5 linked regions of the Callithrix jacchus genome follow. The protein of the gene in region 1 interacts with the protein of each later gene in a biochemical or structural test. Links are inferred from orthologs where the notes say so. Each region holds a gene or a part of one and is shown in the gene's direction. Other genes may lie near its edges.

Region 1 (4,661 bases):
TCTGATATAGTAGGTCCAGAATACTTCTGAAGAGTGTGCATTTCTGACAAGCTCCTCGATAGTGCTTGTCCTTTTGGTTTAAAGACCACACTTGGAATAGAAGGGCCCTAAAGGATTTCTGTGGTACATAGTTCGAAAATGTCTTAAACTACGAGGATGGGCACAGTGGCTTATGCCTATAATCGCAGCACTTTGGGAGGCTGAGAAGGGTGGATTTCTTGAGGTCAGGAGTTCAAGACCAGCCTGGGCAACATGGTGAAAACCCATCTCTACAAAATCTACAAAAGAATTAGCTGGCCACGTTGATGGGTGCTTGTAGTCCTACCTACTCAGGAGGCTGAGGCATGAGAACTGCTAGAACCTGGGAGGCAGAGGTTGCAGTGAGCTGAGATCATACCACTGCACTCCATCCTGGGCAATGGAGTGAGACTCTGTCTAAAAAAAAGATGACTATGTGAGGAGAGAGAGATGTTAATTAGTTTGACTGTAGTAAGTTTTTTCACTATGTATATCAAAATATCATCTATACAGTTTTTATTAAAAATAAATCATTGCCCTTGGACAACCCTTCAATCAATCTCTCGATGAACTTCAGGGGTTACATAGGATTCTATCCAAAGGCTCTTTATGTATTTAATAAGGCTGACCAAAAATTAAAAAGCTTTTTTTAAGCTCCTAAAATCTTAGAAGTTTTCATCCTCGTGCTGTTTTTTTTCTTAAATTCAAAGGGCATTTATTATTTTTCTCTCACTCCTTTGCTTAAGTGATCTTCCCACCTCATTCTCCCAAAGTGCTGCACTTGCAAGTGTGAGCTACAGCACTCAGCCTCTGTTAGTTGAATCTATTAGGTTTTATTTTGTTCAGGCTTATTCTGAAATTCCTAGTAGTATGGATTAGTACTGTGTAGTGGTTTGGAGGTAGTACATACAAGAACCTTGGCTGAGACATCTGCAGACTGGCTACTTATGTCCTTGTTTCTAATCCATGACTAGAACCCCTCTGGGAGGAAAAAGAATCAACTATATTTAGCCAACAGTAGCAGTAGCTTTCAGTCCGATATTTCCTGTTAGTGTTCTTCCTTCCTTTCTGTCCCTTCAGTTGATGTTATTGCTTTGAATAAATGACAGCTCCTTAAAAAAATGGTCTGTGGTTACTTCTACTCTATATCACTAGCTTTGAACATTTTGTGTACCATTGTACTGAGTGGGGATGTCAGGGCCTAGTCCCTGGGAAATACATGCACTTTGTTCTAGCATGGGAAAATCAGCCCTGCCTCAAACTTGAGTATTAATAAATAGCCAATAGAAACCAAAAAACAACAATGGTAAAGTTATCTGCGCTTGTGATAAAGTAGTGCCCTTTTTAAGGATTTTGAGAACTTGACTTTATTCCTGTTTATGTAGGGCTTCCTGAAGGCTTATTTGAAATACGAACCAGCATATCTAATAGTTCTGAACGGCTGCAAGTGTTTCTATGCCCTTGGACAACCCTTCACTCTATCTCTAGATGAACTTTGGGGGTTGTGTAGGATTCTACCCAGAGGCTCTTTATGTATTTAATAAGGCTGACCAAAATTTAAAAAGCTTTTTTTAAGCTCCTAAAATCTTAGAAGTTTTCATTCTCTTGCTGTTTTTTTCTTAAATTCAAAGGGTATTTATTATTTTTCTCTCCCCCTTCCTTTTCCCGTCTTCTTACCCAGAGTGAGCACAAATGGATCAGATGACCCTGAAGATGGAGGATCTGGTGAAAATAGGAGAGCCAATGGGAATAGTTCTCCATCACTCTCAAATGGCGGTTTTAAACCTTCTAGACCTCCAAGACCTTCACGACCACCACCACCTACCCCACGTAGACCAGGTTTGTATTCCAGCTGTCAGTACTCTAATAAATAATGTTCTGGTTGGCAGTTAATCCTCAGGTAAGTTTCAGGAAATTCTTTTCGGTGAGTTTTCTGTGTGTGTTTTTGCATTTAAGATTTTGGCAAAGAATGATCTTTCTGTAGTAACCAAAAGTGCCTTTTTCCTAAGTTTCGGGTCAGAGTGACATTACTGAGGCAGTGCTCTATTGAGAATGAAAATGACATGTGCATAATATAAAATATAGGCAATACAGATAACATTGCAATAGCATTTCTTACATGGTTTGTAACTGTAACATAAACATATTAAGTAAGTAGTCAAGGATTTGGTTGCTTAATCCGAGTATATTCTTTAAAAAGTTAGTAAATGACAAATAACCCAACAGTGCTAAATGATTCAGATTTTAAATAAAAAATGACACAACAAACAAGCCTTTTTTGTTTGTTTGATTGATTTTTGAGTCAGTTTCACTCTGTCACCCAGGCTGGAATGCAGTGGCACAGTGTCAGCTTACGCAACCTCCGTCTCCTAGGTTCAAGCAATTCTCCTGCCTCAGGTTCCCGAGTAGCTGGGATTACAGGCACCCATTGCCACACCTGGCTGATTTTGTATTTTTAGTAGAAACGGGGTTTCTCCATGTTGGTCAGGCTGGTCTCAAACTTCTGACCTTAGGTGATCTGCCCACCTTGGGCTCCCAAAGTGCTGGGATTAGAGGCATGAGCCACCATGCCTAGCCCCAAAGTACTGGAATTACAGGCATAAGCCACTGAGCCCAGCCTCCTCTTCCCCTTTTATAGGTAATTTGGTTAACAGTATGTTCTGAATCTTTAAGATGTCTTAGTTATAATATTGGTGACTTCCTATAGACATTGTTTTCACAAGTATTTCTTAAAGATGTAATACATGACTAGTAACTATTTGTAAGAAGATTATTGTTTATCAGTCAGACCTTCCACATTATAACCAACATCAAAAATTGGTCTGTAATCTGCAGGGATTCATAGGAAAGCAGTTTTAAGGAGCTGGAAAATTAATAAATGAACTTAAAATACCAAGGAATATTAATGCTTTTCTATACATTTTTATCTCCTCAGATAATATTCACATGCCTTGTAATTAATAATGGGATGTAGGGGTAGACAGGGCCGAAGAAGTAAACAAGCCTATTAAGAGGGAGTATTGATTATTTCTTATTATTTCTTTAAGTAATTTTCACCTGTGTATCCAAATCTTAAGTTTTATATTTATCATCTGCCTTTTTATTTTTTACAGTTAAAATTCTATCCTGAATTTTAGAAAATAAAAGGTTCTTTTCCTATTTTCTTCAAATCTTTTATAGCATCTGTCAATGGTTCACCATCTACCACTTCTGAAAGTGATGGGTCTAGTACAGGTTCTCTGCCAATGACAAATACAAATACAAATACAAATACATCTGAAGGAGCAACATCTGGATTAATAATTCCCCTTACTATATCTGGAGGCTCAGGCCCTAGGCCATTAAATCCTGTAACTCAAGCTCCCTTGCCACCCGGGTGAGTAACTTTAAACATACATTGTCTTTAGGCTTTTGGCTACTTCATATACTTACTAACAAGGAAAATAATAGTAAACTCCATTGTTTCAGTAACTGAGATGGAGTCTTGCTCTGTTTCCCAGGCTGGAGTGCAGCAGTGAGACCTTGGCTCACCGCAACCCCCGACCCCTGGGTTCAAGCAGTTCCCCTGCCTCAGCCTCTCTAATAGCTGGGATTATAGGCGTGGGCTATCATGCCTGGCTAATGTTTGTATTTTTAGTTGAGATGGGGTTTTACCATGTTGACCAGGCTGGTCTCAAACTCCTGACCTCAAGTGATCCTCCTACCGTAACCTCCAAAATTGCTGAGATTACAGGCATGACCCACTGCACCCAACCAACTGTTTTTATGTTATAACTGATTTGGGGGAATCTGGAGTCAAAATGAACAAGGAAAATACACCATATTTGAAACCCTGTCTTTTGTTTTCGGGGCAAAGTGGAAAAATATATTTTTTCACCAAAGGACCCTGAATGTTAACCAAGGCCAATTAATAAAATAATCACCTAATTCTAGTTGCTTTTTCTTTGAAGGGGAAAATCCCTTTTTAAAATCAAATTTTGTTTTCATCATAAAATCATTATAGGCTGGGCATGGTGGCTTATGCCTGTAATCTCAGCACTTCGGGAGGCTGAGGCAGGTGGATCACCTGAGGTCAGGAGTTTGAGACCAGCCTGGCCAACATGGTGAAACCCCATCTTTACTCAAAGTACTCTAATTAGCTGGGCATGGTGGTGGGCACCTGTAGTCCCAGCTACTCAGGAGAATTACTTGAACCTGGGAGGTGGAGGTTGCAGTGAGCTGAGATCACGCAATTGCACTTTAGCCTTTGTAACAGAGTAAATCATTATCGCAAAATGATAGATAATTCAGAAAACTGAGAAAATTTCTGCTCATAATCAATCCCATTTTAATCTCTACTGATTATTTTAAGATTATTTTTAAGATATTCAAGTGTAGTTTTTTGTTTTTTATTTTGCTTTTTTTGTTTGTTTGTTTGAAATGGAGTCTTGCTCTGTCGCCCAATCTGGAGCACAATGGTGGGATCTTGGCTCACTCCAACCTCCACCTCTCAGGTTCAAGTGATTCTCCTGCCTCACCATCCAGATTTGCTGGGATTACAGGCACCTGCCACCTATACCTGGCTAATTTTTCTTTTTTTTTTGAGATGGATTCTTGCCCTATTGTCCAGGCTAGAGTGCAATGGTGCAATCTTGGCTCACTGC
Region 2 (5,337 bases), on another chromosome or scaffold:
GTCCTGGGCTCAAGTGATCCTCAAGTCCCAGCCTCTCAAAATGCTGGGATTACAGATGTGAGCCATTGTGTCCAGCCGACAAATTCTTTTTTATTCTTTCTTACATGTCAATTTAGACGATCTGAACAAAGAAGTCTGGATTTCTACTTTCCACTGCTGAGATTTTTAAAAAATTTTTCAAATTAGATTTTTGCACCCTTTATACAAGACTGGATGGCAGGACATTATGTTTGATTCACTCTACCTGATGACATTTAAAGGTTGTTTTTCTGGATTGAAGACAACATCCGAGGGACAGAGTAAGGAGCCTCTAAATAGACTTCAGAGCTTGGAATGTTGCTGGATTTGTTCACTCTCCCAGCATGTTAATATGTGAGACTAATACTTGGAAATAGTGACAGATATGGAGGAGTTTGGATACTGAGAGAGAACTCAAAGTGAAGATGGTAAACATCTAGAGTTTTTGTTGATTATAATTTTCTCATATATGCAGAAACCTCAGTGTGTTCGAAAACACAACCCTCTTTTAAAATACATAGTTAACTAAACTTCAAAATTAGAAGCTAAGACAATAATCATATTAATACAACCTCTACACTGCCAACTTGGAAAAACAATGAAGAAGAAATGTGAACTGCAACAAGCTTCAGAGATGGAAGATTTTTTTTTTTCCTCTGAAGGGCATATGGGTAGAAGCAATTGTAGATGGCTGGGTGTGAAAGAAACAGACCTTGTAAGCCTGCTATGTAGCTATACTGTGCTAGATGCGATTGGGATGTAATAAGACTTAAAAGACAAATACTCTTGTCTTCACAGAGCTTATAATCTAGTTGTGCAAGACTGGTTAAGAAAGCTGGCTTAATGGAGCTGCATTCCACCTTCACCCCTTAGTGTCATTGGGTGAGATATTTAACTTCTTCGCTCTGTGTCATTGGGTGAGATATTTAACTTCTTTGGGCGTAACTTCCTCATCTGTGAAACACTGATAATTATATCTCCTATATGGCAGCAACGCCAGCCTCTTTTCTGTTCTTCCCCAAGGCAATCTCTCTTTGGACCCACCTTTGCACCTGTTTCTGTGGCCCGGAAAGCTTTTAGCATGGCCAAACCCTTCAAGTGTTGACTTCCATGTCACCTGCTCAGGGAACTTTTCAGAAAATACGGTTTCTGTATCCTCAGATAAGACTGTTAAAATACTAACGGACCGTATAAACATGAGGGTGCTATTATAATCATCCACCCTAAGTAAGATTTGAGATCCAAGGAGTTCTCAAGGATTTAGGGTTAGCAAACTTTTCATGTAAAATGTCAGATAGCAAGTATTCTAGGGTTTGCAGGCTATATTAAACAAATGGGTTCTGCTGTGTTCCAATAAAACTTTACTTATGGACACTGAAACTTGAATTTCATATACTTTTCACAGTCACGGCGACAGACCAGATTTGGCCCCCCTCCCTGTTGCTGGCTGACCCCTGGTTTATAAGTAAGGCAGATAAAAGAAGGGAGTGACTAAGAACCACGATTCTGCGGCCAGACACCAGGGATCAGGTCGCTGCTGTGAGGATTGTCAACCTCTCTGGTTCCAACACCCAGAGAATGGGGCTGTGGTCCCTGCGTCAGGAAGGTCGTGTTGAAAGCTGGATAAGGGCACGTAGGTGAAGCTCAGTGCTTGGCACGAGCTGTCATCAGCAGCGTCGCCCTCTCTTTGGACTGGCCTGTTAGTAGTTAGTTTTTAGTGGACTCGAATACAACACTTGAGCCTCGGAGGCTCACGTTGTTGGAGCAACTACACCCGAGTCGGGGCACCGCAGGGCAGCGGCGCAGGGCTAGGCCCGGCCGGGCTGGGCGGTGCGAGTCGGGGGCGGGGCGGCGGCTCAGCGACGCCGTCGTTGTCCCCGCCTCCTCCCCAGGGGCAGCGTCGGAGCCTCGGAGGCGGCGGCGCTTACAGCCTGAGGAGAGCGTCTTGCTCCGGAGCGGCGGCGGCCATCGAGACCCACCCAAAGGCGCGACCCCATCCCGGCCTCAGCGGCCGCGCCCCTTCAGTTAGCTCGCTCGCTCGCTCTCCTTCCCTGCTGCCCGCTGCGCCATGGCGTTGGCGTTGGCGGCGCTAGCGGCGGTCGAGCCGGCCTGTGGCAGCAGGTACCAGCAGGTAAGCGGCGCCCGACTCCCGCCCCCCGTCCCGGACTCCGGTCCCCGGCTCTGCCCTTTCCGCTGGCCGCCTCAGGCCTGTCTGGCCCGCCCGCGGCCAACTCGACACCGGGGCTTGGCAGGCCGCGCTGGGCCGGGACGGGCGAGTTGGGCCCCGGGCTCGGATTCGCGGCCCCGGCGGGCCCGGCCTGCCCCACCGCGACCCCGGGTGGGACTCCGGTGGTGGAAAGCCTTCCTCTCGGCCTAGTTTCCCGCATTTCCCAGGGCGGGCGGGTCCTTGAGTCAGAACCTGCGACCCAAAGGCGGCATCGATCTGAGGCATTCGTTTTTCATGTTTCCACCTTTGGTTTGATGTCATTGGAAAAAAAGAAAGAAAGAAAAAAAGCATAAAACGGAAACTGGGTGGAGAGAAAAGATTAAAATCTCTGCTGCTGCTGATAGCTCCCCACAGCGAGATGCTATTGCTCAGGGTTTCGGAGCCTAGTTTGTCGAAACCCATCCCCCTCGCCTCCGTTTTAAGACAAAAGTCAAAAAATGAAGCGAGAGACAAGCCCGCAGTTTGCAGTAGATTTGTAAGAGGCGACGTTTGGCTTTGGTGATGCCCCAAAAGGGAGAGCTACAGTCAAGTCTGTAGCAGGGCGTGTGCCGGGTGTATTTTAAATGCTTGGAAATGACGTTTTAAGATATTTGATGGCATAGCTGGGGAGGAAATGTATAGGGAATAATTGGATCATTTTCTCCGGTCTGATTTATAAATTGAGGCCCCAGGGAAAAAGAGCTGCTTGTTTCACTCTCCTTCTGTAGCTTAGTTCCCCCAGGAAATTTAGAGACCTTCTGCATGGCTTTTAGAAGTCTTATTAATGTAACAAACATTATAATTGTGGGAATTGAGCCAGGTGGTAAACTGATGTTGATTGGAACCGCAAATAACGGCTTGTGTTTGTCATGTTTCAAATGCTTTCGGCGCATACAGATGTCAATCCTGCTTTTATGAAATAAAATGCTCTATTTTAGACTATCTACTATTTTATATTTTAGAAATAAGGAAAGCCAGTAAGATTAAAACGTAGATTAACCCTGGTGCAGCCGGGTTTGTTTTGCTATCATCAGCCATGTGTTGCAATCCGCCCCCGCTCAGGCTTGGACTTCCAAATGACTAGTTCAGAATTTAGCTTCTTGGTTTCATAAACACATCCCAAATTGTGACAATGCAGTTAATCCTTAGGTCTCTTCAGAGCACATGGATCTAGCACATGCTTTTTTTGTATGACCTTGGGCAGCCTGTGGGTTCCTTACTGCTTTAACAAAATGGGAATAACAGATGTCACTTAACTGTCACCACAGTGTTTACAAACCACCCGTGTTTGCAAATCACCCCTACTGTATACTGAGATCTGATTTCATCCTTTTCATCCTGACTTGGATAAGGCTAACAAGCAAAAGAGCTGTGGTTTTTCTTTGTACTGCCATCTTCTTGAGCTATTAGGTAATGCTGATATACAGCTAGAATACAGAAAATTTGCGGGAGTATCAAAATCATGTATTCCTTAGTGTGGCATTTAATGTTTTTAAATTATGCAGAATTGAAGTGTCAAAAAAATGAAAAAAATTTTCTGAGAAAAATTATAAAAGGTGAAAGCCAAAAAAACTGCAAAACCCTCCCTAAACAAAAACCAAATAGATAACCAAAGGTAATATTTTAATGTACATTCTTGTGGGTTTATCGCTATGTAAATATACATAGTTCTAGATCAGTATACATGTGTAAAGATAAGGATTGAAGGAAAGCTAATACTGATTTTTTTATGCAACAGTCACAGTACTAATTAATTTACATCCATTTTTTCATTTAATCCATACAAAACCCTTATGAACTAGGGTTTGTTCTCATTGTCAAAGACTCAAAGTGGTTCAGTAACTTGCTCGAGGTCACAAGCTGCTAAGTACTGATTACAAGGATATACACACACTCACCTACTTAAAACACAGGCTCACAGTCCAAATATAGGTGTATGCATTAGCAGTTATATACACATGGGTGTATATTCTCTTATGTACCCATAATGCATATACAGACATATCTTTGTACATGCGTGTGTAGTTTCATAAGCCCCTGATCATACTGGCACGTACTTTTGCACATGTCCCTGTGTATCTTATTCTCAGGCGTGTGCATTCGTACATTTGCATACGTGTGTATTGTGTACATGTATATACAAAAGCACACTAGATAAATAAATGGGTTCATATTTCTATTTTATAATGTGCTTTACACAATGTTAATGTCTTCTATATAAAATATTTTTAATGTCTACATGGCATGTAATTGTATGGCTTAATTTAAGTAACCTATCTTTGGTCACTAAGAATGTTTATAGTTTTTTTCATTCACGGAAATTTATTTTACATACGTCTTCAACCGTTTTCTTAGTATAAATTACTAGACACAGAAATGCCTGGTCCGAGAATATACATATTTAAAAGGCTATTGAATTATAGAATGATGGTGAATTGTCCAGGCAACTTGATTGGAGCATGATACTCTTTGGTTGTCACACAGGGTTGTTCTGACTTCTATTTGATCTAGTTAATCAAATTGAGCTAGTTTTCTCACTAAGTAAATGTAATGGAAAACTGTATGATTCATTCATAAATGCAAACACAGTTTTGTCTTTACGGTCTTTTTATTGGTAGTGCAATATGTGGACAACTTGAATTTAGCATAGTAACAAACTATGCAGAAAGGCTAGGCTCAGCTAGGTGAAGTGGCTCACACCTATAATCCCAGCATTTTGGGAGGCCAAGGCAGGCGGATCACCTGAGGTCAGGAATTTGAGACCAGCCTGGCCAACATAGCAGAACCCCATCTCTGCTAAAAATACAAAAATTAGCTGGACATGGTAGCAGTTGCCTGTAATCCCAGCTACTCAGGAGGCTGAGGCAGGAGAATTGCTTGAACTCAGGAGGCAGAGGTTGCAGTGAGCTGAGATTGTGCCACTGCACTCTAGGCTAGGTGACGGAGGGGGACTCCGTCTCAAAAAAAAAAAAAAATTAGTGGGACCTGGTGGCACCCACTTGTAATCCCAGCTACTTGGGAGGCTGAGGCAGGAAAATCACTTGAACCCAGGAGGCAGAGGTTGCAGTGAGCCAAGATTGCACTGCTGTACTCCAGCTTGGGTAACGCTGTGT
Region 3 (5,437 bases), on another chromosome or scaffold:
CTGGGATTACAGGCGTGAGTCACCGCGCCCGGCCTAGAATGCATTCTTAAATAAATGTGGTTATGTTTTACATCATTGTGATGGGCATTTCTCACTTTATGTTTTTTTGCTAATGACTTATTACTTGCTATTTATTTTGTGTTTATTTTAGACTATAGAAATGATGTTAGACAAAAAGCAAATTCGAGCAATTTTCTTATTCGAGTTCAAAATGGATCATAAAGCAGCAGAGACAACTTACAATATTAACAATACATTTTGCCCAGGAACTGCTAATGAATGTACAGTGCAGTTGTGGTTCAAGAAGTTTTGCAAAGGAGACAAGAGCCTTGAAGATGAGGAGTGTAGTGACCGGCCATTGGAAGTTGACAACTACCAATTGAGAGCAATTGTCAAAGCTTAGCCTTTTTTAACTATGAGCAGTTGTGTAACAATTCAAGGATGATCATTCTACAGTTGTTCAGCATTTGAAGCAAATTGGGAAGGTGAAAAAGTTCACTTAGTGAGTGCTTCGCAAGCTAAGCAAAAATTTTAAAAATAGTCTTTTTGAAGTGTTGTCTTCTCTTACTCTACACAACAACAACAAACCATTTCTCAAGTGATTTGCAATGTGCAATGAAAAGTAGATTTTATATGACAACTGGTTGGACCAAAAAGAAGCTCCAAAGCACTTCCCACAGCCAAACTTGCACCACAAAAAGGTCACGGTCACTGTTTGGTGGTCTGCTGCCAGTCTGATCCACTACAGCTTTCTGAATCCTGGTGACACCATTACATCTAAGAAGTATGCTCATCAAATCAATGCGTTGCACTGAAAAGTGCAACCTGCAGCCAGCATTGGTCAACAGAAAAAGCTCAGTTCTCCATGACAACACCCAACCGCAGGTCACACAACCAACGCTGCAAAAGTTGAACGAATTGGGCTACAAATTTTGCCTCATCCACCATATTCACCTGACCTCTTATCAACCAACTATGACTTCTTCAAGCATCTCAACAACTTTTTGCAGGGAAAACACTTCCACAACCAGATGCAGAAAATGAATACAAAGTTTCATGAATTTGTATGCTACAGGAGTAAGCAAACTTATTTCTCGTTGGCAAAAAAGTCTTGATTTTTAATAGTTTCTATTTTGATTAATAAAGATGTGCTTGAACCTAGTTATAATAATTTAAAAATTCAACATCTGAAACTGCAATTACTTTTGCATCAACCTAATAGATGTCTAAGTAGGTCATATTTCACCTGCAAAGAGAAAATTTCGTCTATCCCTTGCAGATGCATGGAAACCCACTATCTCCAGTGGACAGTTAACTCCAAGGGCATCATAGAGAACTCATGGAGCTCAGCTGAGGAGGTTTCAGGGATTCTCTATTTCCCTGAGAGTCTGGAACAAGATGATCTCCAGATCTGCACCTAAAGACTCTTCAACCTTTTGAGATGGAGATGAGGGAGGGAATAGGGAACCCAGTTAAGTCTGGATTTCAGATCCTTTTGTATTTCATAAGTGTGATGATTGGGGTTTCATATTTATGTGTGAGATGTGCCTCCCTCACACCTTGTTACAATGACATTGGCGCATTACCCATCTGACATGAGAAAAACAAATGTAGATTTCAGATAAACAAAACATAACTTTTTTAGTGTATGTCCTATAGAATATGTGGATATAAAATATTCTGTGGAATATAGTTGTATTAAAAACCTGTTCATGGTTTAATCTGAAGTTCAAATTTAACTGGGCATTCCATATTTTATGTGATGTGGCGATCTTATGGAGGACGGACCAACACTGAAAATAAATGACTTCACTTGGTTAGGGCATGGGGACTGGGGAAAACAGAGGCCACAGTCAGCTGTGACTTTTTTATGGAAGGAAGTTGGTTTCTTTCATGCCAATTAAGCAATTACAGACGACCCTGTCAGAAATCTAAACCCGTGACTATCATGAGACTCAAGACCAGAAAAAAAAAATAAGTAAAAAAGAGTAAGAGCCAGAGAAGCAGTCTTCACACACGGCCAGCTGGCGGACGGAGGACTCTCTCATTAAGGAAGGTAAGAGCGTTGCCTTCTCACCATAATCATAGTCCTCTTCTCCCGGAATAGGATTTGGGAAATTCTGGCAAAGTCCTCTGCTTATCCTCATTGCCCTGCTGATGTGTGACGTCAACGGAATTTCTCCTCAATGTTTGTCAGTCTCCATCTTCAGAGGGTTCACAAAGTCTCCTCCTGGGTCCTCTCTCAGTCCTCCAAGACTGCCAAGAAGAAAAGCAATTATTCAGGATGGCACTTGCTGGGGAGAAGCCACCTCCCTAAGGTAGATGTGTTCTCCTGTCACTTAAAGAACCACTTCTCCTGATCTGAGTGGTAAGAGGCGCATTTGCTGTTGCTGCACCATCTGCCAAGGTCTGAGCTTGAGGTATAGGATGTATGAAAACAATTGAATGCAGAATTGAATGTCCATTCTGTCATTTTGAACACAGAGTTCACTCCTATATTATTCACTTCAGAGGATTGGTGAGTTTGACTTTAATTTTGTTTTTACAACTGGGAAGGGTAAATTACATGTAAAACGTCCCAGTGGAAAGTGGTCATGTGGTGAAATCCCCACTCTTCTCTCCCACCTCTCCCTGTTGTTTTAAACTGGAGCTCATTAATATAATTCTATGGGGACCAGATCTTCAAAATTCATGAGAACAGTAAAAGAGCTGACAAATACACAACAAGGAGAGAAGCTTCCATTATTAGTTTTTAATGAACATACTTGACTTACAGCCACTGCAGTTTATGGACATCTTTTGTTATTATTCATTTGTATTTGTTATAGTTAAAAAAAAAGTCCTAGCCAAGGGACTTGAACCAGAGAGAAGCAGAAATTGATTTAGGTGGCAGGGGAAACACACTGTCAGATAAAGTCAGGTCCTGGGCTTCCTTAGCTTGTTTTGTGTGGAGTGCCTAGGACGAGCTGAAGCCCTTGTGTGGGGTGGTTTCCTTTGCTGAAAAACTGGGCTGGAAGATGCTGTGCTCAGTGCTCAACCTCATGCACCCTTGCGAGGCACAGGCAGTGGGCGCTCTGGGAAGCATACGTTGTGTATCATAGCCTCTGCCCAGGGATTGAAGTCTAATAACAACTTTGGAGAAAAATAACTCCTCTTAACTTCTTAGCCACAGCCCTGGACCAGGGAAGGTAGAGAATCAGTAAAAATGCTTTTTGTTTGGTTCTCTAGAAGTTTATGGTGCAGAGTCAAATCAATGGCAATGAGGAGCAGTTTTTCACCAAATAATAACTCAACTTGAAAGCCTTTTTGCTTTTGTCTGTAGTTTCTTCTTCGAGCTTAATTTTTAGTTAGTAGGAGGGGTTAGAAAGCTGAGCTGTTGCTAAAGCCCTTGATATCAATGAAAGAAGCAGGTGCAAATCCCGTCACAGGTCAAAGAATCCTGGCTATGGATATTGGTCACCTAGTTAGGATGCTGTTGTGGGTCTTTATGAGATGATGAATAGGGTGGCTTCGGATGCCTTAATGATGCCCACGTGCTCCTTCTGTTAGGTGTCCTGTGCCCTGACCCTACAAGATGCCAAGAGAAGACACTCCCTTCGTCTCTGATTATCCCAGGAAGAGGCATGGCCACTCTTACATCACAGCTGAAGAGTAAGTTCAAAACCAGACCCAGCAGGGCTTCCAGTCTGCCGTTTGCTGACACAGCCTGCTGACTTCCACTAGCACATGCCTGCTCATGAATCTCCCTAGTGTTGACAGCCCCAGACAGAAACATCCCTGGCAACAAGGGGAAGAGACTCTGTGCTTCTACAAGGGGCTAAATCAAGCTTCTCTAAGGCCAAACAGACAGGAAGATGGGAATGGTATAAGGTTAGATCTTGCTATTTGGGCTGCACTTTTGACTCTTGGGCCTTATCTATAGGTTCCCAAAAGGAAAAACATCCGTTCAGGATCACAATGCCTCTTTCCTCAATCCTTGTTCTGTCAACGCCACTCAAGCTCCTGAAGGTTGTTTGCAGACAGAATAAAAGTGAGTTGCCAAGGAGCCAGTGAGGATGATGGGCAAGTGTGTGTGACTCAGCCTGAAGCCAGACTCGAGAGGAAGGCAGAGGTCACAGCCTTTGCAGCATAACTTTATCCTAAGGAAAGGCGTTGGGTATTATGAGTGAATTAAAAATAAGTATTTATATGATTAAGCATTTCTAAATGATAAGCATTGTATACTGGTCTGAGACACTGTTTTTATCTTTGAAGAAACTCAAAACCTAGCGGGAGAGTTAGGCATGAGAATAATTTCAGCAAATGTAAGTGCAGTAATGGGAACCCAGAAGCTGCAGGGATACATGCTGTACATGCTGGGAGGGAAAGGGTGTGGGGGGAGGGGGAGCAGCAGAGGCCCCACCCTCTGCGTGGGACTCCAACAGGACACAATCTTCTTATGTGTTCTGTGCAGAACTCCCTGCAAACCTGCTCATTCTTTGGAAAGAGCTGTTGAACAATCCTTGTTAATAGCCGCAGAGGCCAGCAAGATGTAGGGCCCGACAAAGGCACTGAAGAAGAACTCAGGCAGAGAGCATTTCTTCCGAAGATCTCGGTATAGGACCCTCTAATATCCCTGGCTAATTGGAGATGAAGCCGGCGGTATCTTCTAAGAAAATGTCCCGAGAGCAAAAATATACTCTTTAAGGGAGGGGAGCCCATTGCCCGTGGTATTAATTAGGGTATTGTTTCAGCTTCTGTATGATCACTCAACAAATTCTTCTTTAGAATATACTTTTATGTCTTGTGTAATAATTCAAGAGTAAAGAGTTCAAGGCCTGTTCATTTTCTTCTTGCTGGTTATTCCCCCGGGGTGTCGCTTTTGTCCCTATGGCTGAAGATGTTGTGCCATCACCTCCACATCTTGCCAAGGAAAGGGGAGGTGAAGGAGAAGCTAGGACCATTCCTTTCAAGGGACACACGTCACCTCTGCTTACTGACCCACCCTCTGCCCCCTGCCCCATGGCACTCACCCTGGTGGGTATCATTCTTGATGTTTTGTAAATGGGGAAAGATTTGGAGAAATTAGAAATGTGTGGCTATGGTGGCGCTGGGATTTAAATCCGGGTCTGTTTGCCTCCAGAGTCCATGCTCTTAAGTATTATGCTGCAGGCTGGCGGAGGCAAATATTTGCACAATTCCATCTGACGAGAGGCTAGGGCAGAGGTCAGTATCTCTTGGTGTGAACCTGGAGGCTGCAGCTTGTCAGCTCGGTAGGCTGAAAGCAGAGTTGTTCTTTGCCATGCAGGGCCATCACACCCAGCTGGGCCCAGGTATACCCACAACCCGAACAAGGTAACTTTCAGGGTCTAGCCAGGAAGAAACCAAACTTGCAAGCTGAACCACGTGCATAAGCAAGGGCAGGTGGATTATCTGACATTTTCCTTGAGAACACGAG
Region 4 (5,394 bases), on another chromosome or scaffold:
CTCCCACTATTTACATTTCTGGGCTCCCTGGTGTCCCTGCACCTGAGCTGTGCGTTAACTGTCCTGGATGTGAGAATTGTTGGAGAACCCCGAAGGATTCTTCATGTCTTGTCGTTCTTCATCCCAATTCATACCCCTCACCCACGTGTTCCACCTCCCCTCAGTCAGCAAAGTACAGTTCTATGCCCTTTTGTTTCTTCTTCCTCCTCCCCTATCTCTATCCTTGACTTCCATTGGCAGAAGAAAGAGGAAACCACAGACCATGAGCTTGTAAGAGAGAGAGGAGTGGGAAGGAAGAGGCTTTTCTTTTGGGTTGCTTTCTTGTTCCCAGGGAGGGGGCGAAGACCACGAACCTTGGCCTCCGTGGGAGGAGAAGATTAGCAGGATGAGTCTTTACCTCCATCACCCATCCTCAGGGTGTTGCTGACTTGTTTTTGCTGAAGGAGGGATGACTCAGCATAGACCCTTGATGGGGAAATGTCTCAGAGGCTGAAAGGAAAGAAGCAGAGGGCCACCAATGACCTTGTTCTTTAATTTAATTTTCATATCAGAAAGATTTCACTGAGTTTGGGGAAATGGAGCTTAATTCTCCCTGTTCCCCGATGTTGGCAACTCCAAATAGAATTTTCCAAAGGAATGACCCTGTCCACAGGAGTCCAAGAGAGATGGGCAGTGGGATTCCAAATTCAGAGTGCAGGGATAGCCCCCCACCTGGTGGAGAGCTTTATTTAGTCATACTTCACCACTGTGCTCTAATTACTGTAACCACCGGTGATCATTATGTGATAATTAGCATGTCTTTTTTATAACTTCTAGAGCACCACCCCAAAATAAATGATTGTGTCAGGTGGCAAGGCTGCTCCTAGAGACAATTCCTGACTTACTCATTCATTCACTAAATATTTAGTGAACTACTGTGGGCCAGGCCCTGAGCAGGAAGGTTGTTGTCCCTGGTATTACAGTGCCAACATGTTGCTGGATGGATATGCACTGAGCAGGTTTACCCATGGGATATGTGTATTCCAAAGTGGAAGTGCAGTGTGTATAAGAAGGCCACCCAACCCAATGTGGCTGGGAGAGGGGTACCAGGAAGCCTCCCCCGCAATAGTAACTTTGAAGATAAGATCTGTAGGATGGGCAGGAGCTAGCAAATGGAATCCACCTTAGGGTAACCTATGCCATTTGTATGAATTCCCCAAGACGTAAAGTTAAACCCAAAGTTGCTCTTCATATAAACCCTCCAAAGTAACTAATAGGCTATGCCAACTACAATGCAGCAACGCTGCTTCTGTACAACGTGATGCTACTTTGGAAAAGTGTAAAATCCTACTTAAGTGGAAGGTGTAATTATTGCAGAGTATTTCAGGGAGGAAGACCGCACCAGGGAAATAGGCATGAAAATCAGGTTCTTCCGTTATTTCTGCAGCCTGGTCTAATTCTCCATGACCTTGGGATGGCCTAGGTCTGCGACAGGAAATAAGTTTTTCTGTCTCTATTTGAGCAACAACATCCTTATCAGCTGCTCCAATGAGGAGGACACTGATGTCCTTTTGCAGGAAACTAACAGGAAAAGAAAGAAAGGTTACCACTAAATACACTTCCTGAGGGCGAAATGAAATGGCTGCTGCTCTGGCTGCAGTGGAGGAAAGGGCTGAATAAATAAATACATCATTCCTATTGTACAGGCAGACTTCCTGGGGGCAAGTCCTCATCTCTTTACCCTGTCTTTCCCTTCAAAAACTAACCTGCCAAGGGGCAGAACAAGGTTTTCTCTGACTATTAAGAGGTATGGAAACCAAGTATCCTCTGTCCCAGACACAGAGGAAACACAGAATAGGAAGGAGAGAAAACCAGAGCCACAGGAAGAGGAACTTGATATTGGTGCACTTCTCCTCTTCATGTTTACAGAATTTTCCCAGCAACTTCTGCTTTGAGGCTTTCTGTGTACAAATCCGGTAATGTTTGGGACATTTCAGGAGAAGACAGGGCCAGGGCTAGTGCAGCTCAGAAAATCAGTCGGCGGCCTCTTTAAATCACAGCGGTAGTGACTTGATTTAGAGGCAGAGGTGTAAACTGTTATTATCTGTGAATGTTGAACTCTAATCCTGTCCACAGGAGTCCAAGAGAGGCAGGCAGTGGAGACTGCTAGAGATGATTCCTGATCTGAAAACAGTTCCAGCCTAAAGGATCTTCAGGCATTTCCTTGTAAGGATAGTTTTCTTCTGCATGGAAAAAGAAACGAAAGAACATGTGCAAATATGGGAGGGAGAAGAAGAAACAGAGACAGAGAAAGACAGATAAGTTGCAAAGACTTGGATCGTTGTATCTCTTTCTTTTTCTTCTTCTTCTTTTTTTTTTTTGAGATAGAGTTTTGCTCTTGTTGTCTAGGCTGGAGTGCAATGGTGTGATCTTGGCTCACTGCAACCTCTGCCTCCCAGGTTCAAGCGATTCTCCTGCCTCAGCACTCCCGCCCCCCCCACCCCCACCCCAAGTAGCTGGGATTACAGGCATGTGCCACCATGCCCAGCTAATTTTGTATTTTTAGTAGAGACAGGGTTTCTCCATGTTGGTCAGCCTGGTCTCGAACTCTAACCTCAGGTGATCTGCCTGCCTCGGCCTCCCAAAGTGCTGGAATTATAGGCATGAGCCATTGTGTCTGGTCTGGATCTTTGTATTTCTACAGTGTCTTTGGTTTAAGGATCATTTACACTTTAGTAGGTTTTTTTTTTCTTTTTCTTTTCTTTTTTTTTTTTGAGACGGAGTTTTGCTCTTTTTACCCAGGCTGGAGTGCAATGGTGTGATCTCGGCTCAATGCAACCTCCGCTTCCTAGGTTCAGGCAATTCTCCTGCCTCAGCCTCCTGAGTAGCTGGGATTACAGGCACGCACCACCATGTGCAGCAAATTTTTTTATTTTTAGTAGAGACGGGATTTCACCATGTTGACCAGGATGGTCTCGATCTCTTGATCTCGTGATCCACTCGCCTCGGCCTCCCAAAGTGCTGGGATTACAGGCTTGAGCCACCACGCCCGGCCTGGTTTTTGTTTTTTCTATCTTTCTTATGTAATAATTATGGGTGAGCCCTGAGAAATGACTCAAAGCCAAAATAATGGGGTTTTCTTGATTATAGTTCCTCATTTTCCCTGGCCACAGGCCAACCCTCAAAATCCTCCACCTTTATAAGGAAGACAGCTTCAACCCAGCCCTGAAGTGATGACTCCAGCCTCTTAGTGCTCTTTCTTTCATGTTGCAAACTGGACTCTCTTCTTCCAACTTTCTAATTGCAAAATTGCTCTTTATTTTTATTGGTTCATATTACTTTCAACCCAGGTGTGAAAACGTCTTTTTGGACGTTTTAAGGCCCATCTGTAGGGCCTTATTGGTCCCTCTTTCTCTCATTCTTAGTGGAGGATTGACTCAGAAGATTGCACAATGACGAGCATATTTTGAAAGGGACAAAGGTTACATAGCCAAGTCTCTGCTCATTCTCCCAGGCACAATCCCTCCTCTCTGGATTCTGGATGGGGCCAGGCTCTGAGTTTTCTGCATATAGGAGGTGCTGCCATAATTAGCCCGTTTTACTGGTTTTGGACAAGGGTACTTCTTGGTATAGGGCAGACAGGAAATTAGACTGTGTCATGGCTTTGGTGGTCATATTTTATGAAACTCAAATTTAGAGTTGTGCTCTGGCAATTATAGGATGCTAATGAGAAAAGTTGAACAAAATATATAAGGTCATCCTGGAAAAGTTACGAGAGTTCATAGTATTTTCTTCCAGTAGCTTGGAAAGAATATCAAATATCACACATTTATTAATAATGTTAATAATAACTAATGATTATTGAGCATTTACTTCATGTCAGGTCCTGAATTATGTATATTATTTCATTTACTCCTCATAGAAGCGTTCCTTCTAGGAGCTAGGGGAGAAAACCAGCCATTATATACTCAATAATAATATTAATGGTAATAATAGTTATTATCTATAACAGTTTTATATGGCATAACATATACGGGCCCTGAATCAAACATATTCTCTAATTTGATTTTTGTATATTTAAAAATATACACACATATATTTCTTTTGTTGTTGTTGTTAAGACAGAGTCTTGCTTCTTCGCCCAGGATGGAGTGCAATGGTGCGATCTTGGCTCACTGCAACCTCCGCCTCCTGGGTTCAAGCAACTCTCCTGCCTCAGCCTTCTCAGTAGCTGGGATGACAGGCATGTGCCATCATACCCAGATAATTTTTGTATTTTCTTTTTAGTAGAGACAGGGTTTTACCCTGTTGACCAGACTGGTCTTGAACTCTTGACCTCGGGGGGTTGATCACGAGATCAAGAGATCGAGACCATCCTGGTCAACAAGGTGAAATCCCGTCTCTACTAAAAATACAAAAAATTAGCTGGGCATGGTGGTGTGCACCTGTAGTCCCAGCTACTTGGGAGGCTGAGGCAGGAGAATTGCTTGAACCCAGGAGGCGGAGGTTGCGGTGAGCCAAGATCGTGCCATTGCACTCCAGTCTGGGTAACAACAGCAAAACTCCGTCTCAGGAAAAAAAAAAAAAGGAGATGGAGGAGGCTCACTATGTTGCCCAAGCTGGCCTCGAACCCCTGGCCTCAAGTGAGCCTCCTACCTCAGCCTCCCAAGTAGCTGCCAACTGTGCAGGCTCTAAGGATTACATCCTTGTGTAATCCTAATGACTTACTGAGTGTGGGCTGGACCTAATGACTTACTTCTAACTCAGGATGTGTCAAAAGTGATGGGATGTCACATCTGTGATTGGATTACAAAAGACTGGGCCTTCTGTCTTGCTAGTACTCTCTTTGGTGGGTCTTCTCTCTTGCTCTAGCTTGCTTGCACTGTTGAAGTAAGCTGCTACAATGTGAGATGCTCTGCGAAGAGGCCCATGAGGCAGGGCACTGAGGGAGGCTTCTGGCCAGCAGCTCCTGGGAAACTAAGGCCTTAGGAAGTGAGTCCTGCCAACAATAACCAGGTGAATGAGGCAGGAAGCAGATCTGTCCCAATTGAGCTTGAGAGGACTGTGGTTTTATAAGAGACCCAAAGTCAGAGGGTTGACTCACAGAAACTGTGAGATGATAAATGTTGTTTAAAGCTACTAAGTTTTGGGATAATTTGTTATGCAAGAAAAGATCTCTAATCCATATCTCATTTTATAGATGAAGAAAATGAAGCTTTAGGGTGATAAATCAATGTTTCACACAGTTGTAAATGGCAGAGCCAGAGCTTTAGGAACATATTAGATTCTAGAATCTGACTTTAAGTCTGCTTTCTCATGAGGTTCCAAGTGATTGGAACACGGTAGTTCTAGAAGAATTCTACCCTCTGAAATCCTTGGAGTGTAGCCATGTTTCCAGGAAACTCTTTGTGTGCA
Region 5 (4,860 bases), on another chromosome or scaffold:
TGGCAGAAGAGAAGGGAACCCCACCCGAGGGAGGAGGCAGCCGCCACTCCAGCCCGGCCAGGCGCCTGGGGCGCCTCAAGGCATCGACCCGCCCTCTCCGCGCCCCGTCCGGCCGGGGGCGAAGTCCGACCCAGGCCCCCGGGCAGGCGGGGACCTGCCGGGCTGGGCTGGGCCAGGCCCGGCCTGGCAGGACGCAGCCCCAGAGCGGCGGGGTGGGGCGGGGCCGGGCCAGGCGGCCGTGGGGGCCCCGGGGGCGGCGGTCGGGGCTGGTCCGGACTAGCCGTACCGGGGCCCAGGCGCGCCCTGGGACCTGGCAGATACCCGGGCTCCCCACTTCTGGCTCGGGGCCCCAGGACAGCATTGGTCCCACCTCTTCCTGTGCCCTAATATGGGCGGCGGGAGAGACTCCGGGGGCCACCCGGCCCTGAGTCCTGCCGGCGGACTCCCGCCTGTTGCCATGGCGACCAGGCCCAGCTCTTGGGCTGCGTTTCCCGCTGTCGGTCCAATGGAACAGTCCCCAAGCTGTCTGCCTCGGCGATCCCCAGCAGGCGCCGCGGGAGGAACCATTGCCTGGGGGGAGAGGATGGTAGCTGGAGGCTTCTGCTGCTGGGCCGGCTCCAAGCACCAGGGCCTCCGCGTGGGCTCGCACGCCCAGGTTCCTCTTCCGAGGCGCAGGATGCGGCGGGACCCAGGGCGGGGCGCAAGGTCCCGTAGGATCCGAGTGACGGAGACAGGGCCGGGCTCCTTCCCCCGGGGCTGTTGCCACACTTCCTGCCTCGGCGCTCTTTCCCCAGCCTGTTTCTAAGGAAGGGAGTGTGGGGTTGGGCGACCGCGCCCCAGCCGTCGGGCTGGGTCCAGGCGCCGACAGGGTGTCGGGCAAAGCCCAGGGTCAATAGGGGAAGAGTTTTAGGATGGGGGACAGGGAATGCAGATGCCTAAGGGGTCACCCACGAGGGGGAGCACCAGTCATGGAAGATCAGCAGTCCGGGTGCGTGGACCCCAAAGCCCCCTCCTCACGTCAACTGAGTACCCTCTTACTGTCTTCTCTGCTCCGAAGATGGATCCGGATCCTTCTATCTCTCCTTCATCCAGGCTTCGCGGATAACTCCAGTGGTCCCCAATCTCTGCTAGACGTCTACATCTTCTACCCCGCACATTTTACCTGCCTCAGTGTACAGCAGGACCCTTATTCGCTTTCTGCATATCTAGATTTCTCCTAATTCCTCTTTCCCACGTATGGGGAGCTCTCAGATCCTCCCATGGGCTTCGGGACCCCTACTCATTTCTTGCAATTTAATGGGTCATGCAGCCCACCACTGTCCCCTTTTGATCTCTCCTCTCCTCCATCCTGTGAAAATTCCAGTACTCCATCCCTCTGTGCTTGGGGCCCCCAGTCAATTCCTGTGTCAGGTCTCTCCTTACCCCTCCCGATTTACCGTTAGTAACCCTCATTTCTGCTTTTTGGGGTCTCCCAATGAATTGTCAGTCCTTCCACCCCTCTCGTACTCTGGGTACCTCAGGGTTTCTTCGAACACCCTGGGATCTCCACCCCATTTGCTCCGTACCAGGTCCTGGTATTTGTCCCAGTGGGCTGGAGGGAAATCATCCTCCTCCCTGAGCGCCCTCACTCATGTGTCCAGGCCCCTCAGCACCTCCTTCCACGCGGACCCCGGGGTCCTTTGAGCCCCTCCCCCTGCAGCCCCGCCGAGCCACCCGGCCCGTGGCCGCTGTTTACAAGGACACGCGCTTCCTGACAGTGACGCGAGCCGCCTCCTCCCCTTCCCCACGCTCGAGGAGGGGGGCGCGGGGGCCCGGCTCCGGCGACGGCCAATCAGAGCGCACTTCCGTGGCTGACTAGCTTCTGTATAAAGGCGTGTGGCTCAGGCTGAGCGGCTGGGACCTGGAGAGCGGCCGGACCAGCTTCGGAGCCAGCAGGGAGCCGGGAGCTGGGAGCTGGGGGAAACCACTCCAGGAAAGCTAGCGCGCCGAAGAGGGTGAGGGGGACTCGAGAAGCCTGACAGCTTTTGCGTACAGCTTCCGGCTGGCTGCTCCCCGCCCGCGCCAGCCCCGGAGAACGCGCGACCAGGTACCCAGTCCGGCCACCGCAGCGGAGAGCGCGGCGCTCGCTGCAGCGAGGCCCGGGGCGGCCCCGCAGGGACCTTCCCCCGACCGCCTGGGCCGCCCGGATGTGCACTAAAATGGAACAGCCCTTCTACCACGACGACTCATACACTCCTGCGGGATACGGCCGGGCCCCCGGTGGCCTCTCTATACACGACTACAAACTCCTGAAACCCGGCCTGGCGCTCAACCTGGCCGACCCCTACCGGAGTCTCAAAGCGCCTGGGGCTCGGGGATCCGGCCCAGAGGGCGGCGGTGGCGGCAGCTACTTTTCTGGTCAGGGCTCGGACACCGGCGCGTCTCTCAAGCTCGCCTCTTCGGAGCTGGAACGCCTGATCGTCCCCAACAGCAACGGCGTGATCACGACGACGCCTACACCCCCAGGACAGTACTTTTACCCTCGCGGGGGTGGCAGCGGTGGGGGTGCGGGGGGCGCAGGGGGAGGCGTCACCGAGGAGCAGGAGGGCTTCGCCGACGGCTTTGTCAAAGCCCTGGACGACCTGCACAAGATGAACCACGTGACACCCCCCAACGTGTCCCTGGGCGCTAGCGGGGGGCCCCCGGCTGGGCCCGGGGGCGTCTACGCCGGCCCGGAGCCACCTCCCGTTTACACCAACCTCAGCAGCTACTCCCCAGCCTCTGCGTCCTCAGGAGGCGCCGGGGCTGCTGTCGGGACTGGGAGCTCGTACCCGACGGCCACCATCAGCTACCTCCCACACGCGCCGCCCTTTGCCGGTGGCCACCCGGCGCAGCTGGGCTTGGGCCGCGGCGCCTCCACTTTCAAGGAGGAACCGCAGACCGTGCCGGAGGCGCGCAGCCGGGACGCCACGCCGCCGGTGTCCCCCATCAACATGGAAGACCAAGAGCGCATCAAAGTGGAGCGCAAGCGGCTGCGGAACCGGCTGGCGGCCACCAAGTGCCGGAAGCGGAAGCTGGAGCGCATCGCGCGCCTGGAGGACAAGGTGAAGACGCTCAAGGCCGAGAACGCGGGGCTGTCGAGTACCGCCGGCCTCCTCCGGGAGCAGGTGGCCCAGCTCAAACAAAAGGTCATGACCCACGTCAGCAACGGCTGTCAGCTGCTGCTTGGGGTCAAGGGACACGCCTTCTGAGCGCCCCTGCCCCCTTACGGACACCCCCTCGCTGGACGGCTGGGCGCAAGCCTCCCACTGGGGTCTAGGGGGCAGGCGGTGGGCACCTACCCTGGGACCTGGGAGCGCCGCTAACCACACTGGACTCCGGCCCTCCCGCCCTGTGCCCAGTCCTTCCACCTCGACGTTTACAAGCCCCCCCGGTTCCACTTTTTTTTGTATGTTTTTTCTGCTGGAAACAGACTCGATTCATATTGAATATAATATATTTGTGTATTTAACAGGGAGGGGAGAAGGGGGCGATCGCGGCGGAGCTGGCCCCGCCGTCCGGTACTCAAGCCCACGGGGACATTGGGAAGGGGACCCCCGCCCCCTGTCCTCCCCTCTCTGCACCGTACTGTGGAAAAGAAACACGCACTTAGTCTCTAAAGAGTTTATTTTAAGACGTGTTTGTGTTTGTGTGTGTGTTTGTTCTTTTTATTGAATCTATTTAAGTAAAAAAAAAAATTGGTTCTTTATTAATTTCTGTTGTCTTTTTTTCCAAGCTGGGAGGGCCGAGGGAAAAAAAAAGCAATGGTTTGCCCCAGCTCAGTGCTGTAAGTGGCTCGGTCCTGTGTGTGTTCCCCTCTTCAGCTCTGCGCAGGCATCTTGTGGCCCGCCCGGGAGTCCCACCCTATACGCGCCTCCTGATCTCCAGGGTTGGATGGTCGGGGCGCGGGGCGCGGGGCGCGGGACGCGATTTCGGAGCCCAGTAGCAAAAGGCAGGGAGCTCTGCGCGAGACGCGGAGTGCGCAGGCGCGGCCCCGCCCAGCCGCGCGCGCCGGGGCTTTCCCCGCTGACGCAGCGGAAGCGCTGCCCATATAAGGACCGATTCTGCCCAGTGACGCGACCGCGGTCTCTGGGCAGATTCCGGGAATCCCCTCCCCCGCTCTGCCGGGCAGGGCCGCGGCGCCGGGAAGGGGGCCGGGATTTTCCCGGGCAGGCGGCTGCCCGGGCACGGAAAGCCCCAGGCCTGGGTCCAGAGCGGCCGCGGTGGGCGGGCAGCGCTCCTGGGCTGCGGGAGCCACCCCTGTGCCACTCAAGACACTGGCGCCTGGGCCCCGCCGCGCCCACGCCCCCTCCGTCTGACCTGACCGGGGCGGAGGGTTGTTGCTGCCTAGGCTGCTTTGCCGACGTCGTCCCTTCTACCCCCACCCCCGCCAGGAAGGGCGGCGCCGGCCTGCCAGTTTCCCCTCCCGGGTGCCAGGCCAGGAGCGGGGCGACTGCCAGGTCTGGTCCTGCCGGGGCGGCTGCTCGGGCCGCTGGGCGCCGCCACCGCCCTTGCGCTGGGCTCCCTCCTGCGCAGCTGGGACACTTGGGGGTGGGGGTGGGGGTGCGGGTGCCGGTGCTGCTGGCATGCCTGGAGGGAGTCTGGCCGGCTTCGGAGCTGGAAGCCCCCAGAGCAGTGGAGAAAAACAGGTAGAGAACCAGACAGGCAGTAGGGTGTGTGGAACAGGCACTTCATCAATTCATTTATACAATGCCTAGAACAACTACACCCTGGAGACACAGCCTAGACCACTCCAGACAAGACAATAAACAAGGAAACATGATTCTTCGGAGGTGGTGGTAAGTGCTAGGAAGAGAGAGAGAGAGAAAAAAAAAAAAACCA

The links. The genes of interacting proteins can lie anywhere in the genome.
Region 2: the proteins of ITCH (region 1) and NDFIP1 form a complex in vitro, tested with the Homo sapiens proteins (2 studies listed by BioGRID). The link is inferred for Callithrix jacchus from reciprocal best matches to the Homo sapiens genes ITCH and NDFIP1.
Region 3: the proteins of ITCH (region 1) and MLANA form a complex in vitro, tested with the Homo sapiens proteins (2 studies listed by BioGRID and IntAct, with this or other methods). The link is inferred for Callithrix jacchus from reciprocal best matches to the Homo sapiens genes ITCH and MLANA.
Region 4: the proteins of ITCH (region 1) and NUMB form a complex in vitro, tested with the Homo sapiens proteins (3 studies listed by BioGRID). The link is inferred for Callithrix jacchus from reciprocal best matches to the Homo sapiens genes ITCH and NUMB.
Region 5: the proteins of ITCH (region 1) and JUNB form a complex in vitro, tested with the Homo sapiens proteins (2 studies listed by BioGRID, with this or other methods). The link is inferred for Callithrix jacchus from reciprocal best matches to the Homo sapiens genes ITCH and JUNB.

What each region holds. Positions count from the first base shown.
Region 1 is NC_133506.1:4,854,637-4,859,297, reverse strand, and holds part of ITCH (E3 ubiquitin-protein ligase Itchy homolog), read left to right. Parts: intron 1-1,699; coding exon 1,700-1,857; intron 1,858-3,198; coding exon 3,199-3,394; intron 3,395-4,661. UniProt on the Homo sapiens protein: Acts as an Acts as an E3 ubiquitin-protein ligase which accepts ubiquitin from an E2 ubiquitin-conjugating enzyme in the form of a thioester and then directly transfers the ubiquitin to targeted substrates.
Region 2 is NC_133503.1:40,544,689-40,550,025, forward strand, and holds the start of NDFIP1 (NEDD4 family-interacting protein 1), read left to right. Parts: upstream 1-1,908; 5' UTR 1,909-2,086; coding exon 2,087-2,149; intron 2,150-5,337. UniProt on the Homo sapiens protein: Activates HECT domain-containing E3 ubiquitin-protein ligases, including NEDD4 and ITCH, and consequently modulates the stability of their targets. As a result, controls many cellular processes.
Region 3 is NC_133502.1:112,376,046-112,381,482, forward strand, and holds the start of MLANA (melanoma antigen recognized by T-cells 1), read left to right. Parts: upstream 1-2,008; 5' UTR 2,009-2,056; exon of another isoform or gene 2,057-2,518; intron 2,519-3,549; 5' UTR 3,550-3,574; coding exon 3,575-3,651; intron 3,652-5,437. UniProt on the Homo sapiens protein: Involved in melanosome biogenesis by ensuring the stability of GPR143. Plays a vital role in the expression, stability, trafficking, and processing of melanocyte protein PMEL, which is critical to the formation of stage II melanosomes.
Region 4 is NC_133509.1:108,453,095-108,458,488, reverse strand, and holds the start of NUMB (protein numb homolog), read left to right. Parts: upstream 1-1,965; 5' UTR 1,966-2,205; intron 2,206-5,394. UniProt on the Homo sapiens protein: Regulates clathrin-mediated receptor endocytosis. Plays a role in the process of neurogenesis.
Region 5 is NC_133523.1:11,614,259-11,619,118, forward strand, and holds JUNB (transcription factor JunB), read left to right. Parts: upstream 1-1,895; 5' UTR 1,896-2,186; coding exon 2,187-3,230; 3' UTR 3,231-3,731; downstream 3,732-4,860. UniProt on the Homo sapiens protein: Transcription factor involved in regulating gene activity following the primary growth factor response. Binds to the DNA sequence 5'-TGA[GC]TCA-3'.